Linked DNA regions of Danio rerio. The protein of the gene in region 1 purifies or fractionates together with the protein of each later gene. This does not show direct contact. Links are inferred from orthologs where the notes say so. Each region holds a gene or a part of one and is shown on either strand. Other genes may lie near its edges.

The links.
Region 2: the proteins of itpr1a (region 1) and erlin2 purify together in Homo sapiens (affinity purification with western blotting, with the first as the bait; 4 studies listed by BioGRID). This does not show direct contact. The link is inferred for Danio rerio from reciprocal best matches to the Homo sapiens genes ITPR1 and ERLIN2.

What each region holds. Positions count from the first base shown.
Region 1 is NC_133181.1:42,512,221-42,516,051, reverse strand, and holds part of itpr1a (inositol 1,4,5-trisphosphate-gated calcium channel ITPR1), read right to left. Parts: intron 3,370-3,831; coding exon 3,169-3,369; intron 3,076-3,168; coding exon 2,960-3,075; intron 2,637-2,959; coding exon 2,501-2,636; intron 1,331-2,500; coding exon 1,205-1,330; intron 1,124-1,204; coding exon 995-1,123; intron 627-994; coding exon 506-626; intron 414-505; coding exon 229-413; intron 1-228. UniProt on the Homo sapiens protein: Inositol 1,4,5-trisphosphate-gated calcium channel that, upon inositol 1,4,5-trisphosphate binding, mediates calcium release from the endoplasmic reticulum (ER).
Region 2 is NC_133180.1:36,102,373-36,106,203, reverse strand, and holds part of erlin2 (erlin-2), read right to left. Parts: intron 2,560-3,831; coding exon 2,468-2,559; intron 2,354-2,467; coding exon 2,264-2,353; intron 1-2,263. UniProt on the Homo sapiens protein: Component of the ERLIN1/ERLIN2 complex which mediates the endoplasmic reticulum-associated degradation (ERAD) of inositol 1,4,5-trisphosphate receptors (IP3Rs) such as ITPR1.

The DNA.
Region 1 (3,831 bases):
GCTGTTATATGGAACTTAAGGTATTAATAGTGGCTTTTGAATCGTCTGATTGGTGAATCATAAACTGAATAATGCGGGAGTGACTGCAAGCAATCATAAGCACGTGATCCTCTCGAAATTAGTTTACAAATAAACTTCACTTTGGGACTATATTTTCCATGTATTAAATAATATGTCAAAGTTGTAATTTAGAAGAAAAAAAAAACAGTGGTAATGTGACTTCCTCACCTGTAGTCTTTCAATGATGTTGCGATAGTCTCGAGAGGTGGTCAGAACAGAGTCTCTCCGAGTCGCGTTACGGACAGAGAGTCTCCAGCTGAGGGCTGTTTTCTGCACAATGTTGTTGGACTTCATGAACAGATTATTCACCTGACAGTCCAGATCCACAGGAATGGCTATGGCTCTGCCTTTGGCTGCACATTACACAACAGCAAATCTGTTGAAATATCCTACATGATGAAATATCTTAAATGATGAAAACAGCTGCTGGAGAGGATGCTCTTACCCACGTCACTCAGCACTTTGATGCAGGCTTCCACATTCCCCTTCTGACCTGGGAGAAGCCAGTTGCAGTGATATACACGAAACACTCCCTGCAGCAGCTGCACAAACACCGGCTGCCGGGTCTGAGACACAAGGAGACATAGATGGTACTTTTACACCTTAGACTACCTGCAAACTTGTGCTCTGGTCTGATAGAAAATACATTTCATTAATTAGAATTAGTTTTGAAAAATCTGTCCTGATGAATCATTCAATGACTTGCTCATAAAACTTCAATAAAATGAAATAAATCAAAGTTTTGAGCGAATCTCTTGAACTTAGAAGCCACATTTTCATGCAGTGCTGTGAATTGTACTTTACAATATCACATAAATTGTTTATAAACAAGAATTGTTTCCATCCTATTGTTTCTAGTGTTCAAAAGATCAAAACTGTCACAAGCTTAAAAAATGTGCAAAAGTACTAAAAGCAGAAATGAAATGGGGGCTACCTGCAAACTTGTGCTCTGGTCTGAGAATGGTGAGCTGAAAAAGGTGGTGACGATGCTCATTATGGTCTCTGTAACGTATCTCTCCAGAACTGTGTCAGCGTGTTTACGGTCACTTGTGTTATTGCACACCTAAAGGAAAGTTGAGTATGTGATTATCCAGACCCTCTTGACCATGTATCAACTGAAAACCATTGGTAATTTGAGTCTTACTCTGCAGACGTCCACCAGAAAATCATCAAAAAGTTTCCACATGTGATTGCTGGTGTAGATCTCCTTCATCTCAACCTCTGTATCAACATAACAGTGATTCAGGAAGTTCACGTAGGCCATCTTCACCTGCAAGCGCAATTATAAATTCTTATTTTATAAAGTCACACATCCCAGTTTGGCTACTAATACTGGAAAAAAAAAAAGACAATTTTTATTTTGGTTGTGTAATAGAAGAATAGGCAAGCTTTGGGACAGGGGAGTCAAACTCATATCCTGGAGGGCCGAAGCCCTGCACAGTTTAGTTCCAACCCTGCTCCAACACCCTTACCTGTAGGTTTCAAACAAGCCTGAAGGACTCAATTAGTTTGATCAGGTATGTTTAATCAGGGTTGGAACTAAACTGTGCAGAGCTGTGGCCCTTTTGGAACTGAGTTTGACACCTGTGCTTTAGGACATGCTACTTTGTCATTAATTAACAGTTCTGTTAGTTATGGCCAGATATAATCCTTGGACACTTTTTTGCAGTTTCTGCGTAGAATTTTTGTGGAATTATTTTGAGAGTGTAGTAACCAAAAACTTAAAATATGAAGTAACAAATAATCACTTTTTAACTTTTATTTAAGGTTTCCAATGCAAATCTTATTAGATCCACAAAGCAAGTCTCTCACATATCTACTAAAAGACAGAACATATTACTTTACAAACTGTACTATAAATATTCATGTAAACATTTGCATATTAATCAATAATACTACTGAAAATAATGTAAAAACTGAATAAATATATATTTAGACTCATTTAGTAAAGAAACTAACAAGTAAAAAAATAGACTCAATGATGGGCTAAAAAACTTGCGCATTTCTGCATGAGCAGATTCCTTACTCCATGGGAAATTAAGTAGCACATTCAGCTGACGTTCAAGGATGTTTCATGCAGATACATGTTTATAAAACTTTTAAAATACTGTTGCAGACGGAATATAATCCAGATAACATGAAATAAATAGTTAACATCAGGTTTAGATTTTAATCATTATTCATTCAATCCCAGATACAACCTCTATACGATTAACCATCGTATCCACAATGTTAGTCGTTTATCAAAGCTATTTACCTATTTAATGTGTTGTGGGAAACATTAGTCATTAAGAGTCTGAATTCAACTAGAAAAAGTAGATTAGCAATATCCAGTTTAACATATTACAATTTGTTATAGACAATTATTTGTTTATGGACTGTGCAGCATCAGACCAACAATTTACTTTAGGTTGTGAAGCAATCCAAAAAGTGCACACACCTCAGGGATGCAGTCCTCATGTGTGACCACACGTACAATATCATCGAGAGGGAGCAGCGAGTTGCATTTGATCTCAGTGTAGACGTTCTTGCCTTCAGTGCACACAGCCAGCAACTCCACCAGGTGAATGTGATACCTGTAAGAGTGAGCATGAAGTCTTATAATGACAACAACAAGTACGCAACAAACCTTTTCTGACTTTTTAAATGCAAATGAGAGATGTCATTGTAACCTCATTGTGAGTGCTGAAAACTGAAAAATTCAGAGGCAGAGCACAGATATTTACAATCATAAAACAAGATATTCTGCACCAACTTCAACAAATTGAACAAATATTGACATTTGTTCAGTTCATACTAGCATGATTCAGTGCAGTTTTCAACGTTAAATAGATACAGTAACAATCTATATTGTAATATTGTAGAGACAAGACGTGTTTGGGCAGTTTTATCTCCGAACCTGAGTGCACTGCTCTCATCAAGTCGTTCCCGCTCAAGACGCATCATCTGAACCAATGACTGAAAAGACGCCCGGTCATTATAGAACACCAGCACATCCTCACCTGCAGTCACCAGCTACACAAACACACACATAAAACATATTTACTAAGTAATACTCTGTGTATTTCAGCAGTCTCAAAACTGTGAACTTCTATCTGGTCAACAAACCTCAGCCATGACGATGTCTTGGCATTTCTTGATGAACTTGTTCTCTGCCTTGACAATGGTCTGCAGGAACTTGAGGTAGTGCACGCTGCGGCCGTGTGTCTCGATGCAGTGCACAAAATGCTGCACGACCCGCTCATTAATCTCACTACACAACTGGAAATTATTCATGAAGATATGCTGCATGGTCACCGCCTCCAGGATCTAGCAACAGAGAGACCAGGAGAAGTATAAGAATGAAAATTAAAATCTCTCTCTGTGTTGGTTTTTTGTTTTTGGTTACAATATAATAACATGGGTATGACCTAGGTAATAGAATGTTAAGGTGGTTTAAGAGGACTTGCCTTGTGTTCTTGTAATCAAAACTGTAAAAATAACAGGTTCATTTTCAAAAAGCCAAAGTTTTCCAGTAAGGACTGGGGTTTAGGGTAGGGTTGAGGCAATATAAGTGTTGAAACTCCGCGGACCCGGTACCAGGTCTGTGACGTCATGGACTTTCGCTTTCAGATTTAAAGGGCTAGCGTTGCACCAGACCCCCGTAAGTGGTTTCGTTTGAAAGTGTAGAATCTATATTTTATGCACATATGCATCACTTTGGTTTATATTTTACTGTATAAAAGTTATTTACACTTAAAACACAGTATTTTGGATACCCGAGGTAGGTAT
Region 2 (3,831 bases), on another chromosome or scaffold:
GACAATGAATGAATGATTGAATTACATTATTTTGTACGTTATGTTTACTGTGTGATGACTGGTGAGTCAGATTTTTGAACTAAAAAGTACTTTACAAGGTTGTAAACAACCGGTTCACAGAAAAGAACCAGATTTAGATATTAGCCCATGTGGATTAAAGGTAACAATGTTGCAAAAATAGTCAGTTGCTTTGCTTCTTAAGATCATAATGTATCAACAGGAACCACAGGTATTACTCTTGTTTTGCCTGTAAATAGTTTTTTTTTTTATGTCCCAAAGGATTACTAATTAATGACTTTAATTATACGAATAATTATCTGAAGAATAAAAAATTTTTTGCGGCTGTGTAAATAAACAGTATTTTGTATTATTGGGGTAAACTATCCCTTTAACTGCAAAATCCACATCCATGAAGTCATAGTTGTCAGAAAAATCTTTCTAATTATGAGCTCTATTCTTTTTACAAGCTGGATGCTCGTAATTCCGGCACAAAAGTATGAACACATCTTAAACAGCTTTTATTAGGCAAGTGATATGAATGATCCCAGTTGAGCGTGCATGGTCCTTCAAAGGTACTATTTGTTTAATGTAGGGAAAAATGACTGAGACTGACGTTCTTGCACTTCAGCCAGAGCTGTCACTCCGTTTACAGCCAGCCCTCAAAACCCAGTTGAGTATTACAAAACATATTCTGGCCAGTTTCAATATCCGCTGGACAAATCAGAACAGAGGATATCCAAGTATGACAGTATATACACAACAGACCTTTTACTTGTCAAGCCAACATGGCACAGATACTGTACGTCTAAACAAAAAAAGTTCTGCAATTTAAATCTGAAAGCAGATTTTGATTTGGCTTTGTTTTTTTCGTCCAACACACTGTAGTAGATTTATCATTGAGCGTAACTGAGACCTCAATCATTATTAATGACCCATCATATGAGCTGTGCTAGCTATCATCCTTAAAGAGCTACTCATATACAGTAGTTGTATATTGTATTGTAAGTTTAAGAAGTTATGCAAAAACTTAAACATGAACTGCCTAAACATTTAAACCATTAAAATAGCTTCTTTGGCCCTTAAATCCACAATACACACTGTTATAATAAAAATGACAAACTATTACACGATAGTTCCAATGCATGTTTAGAAGAAAGAGTCACAAGAGTTTCGCTTGACGTTAGTTTAGAATTACTCATAGACTGTTCAAACCAATCTTCTAACCGATGTTAACATAAAAACCACAATACTTTGACTTTTAGTGAGTGTGATTTAGTTTGCTGGCTCAGAAAAGTCTATTTTCCCAGAATTGCTGTAAGAAGGTAAAGAAACCTGACCCTGAATAAACTGCACAGTAGAAAACAGATGGGCAGGCAGGCCAGACCAGACAGATCATTCCCACTAAATGGCTGTGTAGCTAATTCTATGCAAACAATAACACATAATTTGTATTCACATCATATGTTTTTTGGAGTGCAATGCTCTATTTCCTTGTAGCTTTATTTTTTTATTCTGTTTTACCTGATTTTTCACTTTAAGGAGACAAACTCCAAGACACTTTAAGCTTTAAAGCTAACAGACCATTTGCTTAACATGAACCTAAACTTAACAGCATGATTTGCCAGTACTGCACAGAATCTATTCTCTATCATTTTCTGAAGTGTTCAAGCGTGATGTTTTGAAACTGCACTAAAGGAATACTGATTATTATCAATGTTGAGCACAAACAGTTGCTGCTTTGTTTTTCTGGAACCTGTTTTTTCCCCACCTCAAAAATATAAAAAAGTTCATTTTATTAGTTCAGTCTATTTGAAACATATTTTGGTAACACTTTAGTTTAGGTCACAATTCATGCTATTAACTGCTGGCTTATTACCTGTCTATTAATAAGATGTTAACTGTTCATTAGCAGTTATAGAGCATGCTCTTACCCCGCATACCTAATCCTACCCACAACCTAAACCCAACTTTTACCCAACTAACTTTTAATAAACAGCTAATTAGTCATTTATTAAGTTTGTAGTGTTGTTAATGGTTTATTAATACATTGAATTGTGACCTAAACTAAAGTGTTACCCATATTTTTAATAATATTATAAATGTATTTATTGTCACTTGTTTATTTAATAATATGCTGAAGCATAAATAAAGACTGATATTTTAATAAGATGAAGGCCCACATGTCCATATGGTTAGTCTGATCTAGTTTTATTCTCCATGATTTCTTGGACCTCTGAACACTCGTGAATACACATTCACCTACCTTCAATTTGTGAGATCTTTTTCTCCGTTTCTTTTTCCATAACCTTTTGTCCAAATTTGATTTCAGCCACCTGAGCCACCTTCTCTGCCTCTGCAAACATGATAAAACAGAGTGACATTATTTCACTTTTATGTAATCGGAAACCAATTCACCATGATACAAGACAGACTCGGGTTTAATACTCAGAAAAACATCTTTGCTTACCAATGACAGCCTTTTTCCTCTCTGTCTCTGCCTCTTTCTCCACCACCTTCTGAGTCTGAGCTGCAATCAGTAACTTTGTTCTCTCACTCTCCCTGAGGAACACATGAACAAACACACAAAATATTAAACAAAGGAAAGTAAGAAATTATGTTTGGTTGAGCAGGATCACATCAGATGAAGTTGCACAATTATCAGATATATATGTTTCTGTTAGATGTGGTTCAAGTGTGAGAGAAAAACGTCCTCCTAATTCAATCACTGCATTATATAGAGCACACCAAATTACTGGCATGAATCTAGCAGGTATGTAAGCCATGCAGTTTCCAAAAATTACTAATAAAAGTGTTACTGATACTAATCTAGCTGATTTAGTGTTAGAGGGTAAAGTTTAAAGTAAAAAATATTGGTAAATAATTCTGATTAGATGTTTAACTTTGAAAAAAAATTACAAAACAGCAAGAATCAAGTATGATTAAGTAAAAAAACAAAAAACAAAAAAACACCATTCTTTTTTTGTCCTTTGTTCTGTTTCCTGCCTTCGTTTTCACAATATCTGTATCACCTGTTTGTGCATTTACAGTAGGTTCCTGTTTCCTCTAGTTCATTGCCTGGGGTTTATTCCAGAAAGCAAGTTTAACTTACTTTCACATTAATCCTAAATTCTATGGTGATTAACCTTAAACCTGCATACAGGTTAAGTTCAGTTAAATCATGTTATATTAACCTTCAACACAAAAGAGATTCCCAACAGCATGCCAAAACCATAAGTCATCATTAAAGCAGCACGCAACGCCTCTTCTTTCTTTTTCTTCTGTTTAATGGTTAGTTGTATTCTTAGTGAGTTTCTCCCCCCATTGGTTGGTTGTCATGCATTAGTTTGTAATCTTGATGTTAGATGTATATTTTTATTATGAACAAAAAGTATGCTGTTCACATTACAGGTTAAATATATATTAAATAATTAAATGTATATTGCTCATCATAAAAAAAGCTTTATTAATAAAATAAAGTACAAAAAAATCTTATTTTATAATAGCGTTTTATTGAAAATGTGATAAATACATTAAGGAACATACATATAAATCTCTGAAGCAGGTTATGTTTCAGGTTTAGTTCACCTCTGAGTTTTATATCTGTTTTTTTAATATATTTATTCAGGGAAATTTATTTAGAGCATGTTTCTTTTGCAACTCACAGAGCCGTCTTCCGGTGTGCTAAGTTTCATGTTTTTCTTTCATGGATCACTGCCTGGAGCAGAAGAACAGCACTTTCTACAAGCATTTGGAGGAGATTCTCTGTTCACATATCTGACCACCTTCCCAGAGAGCTGCTAGTTCACATTACTTCAAACTGGACTTGACACC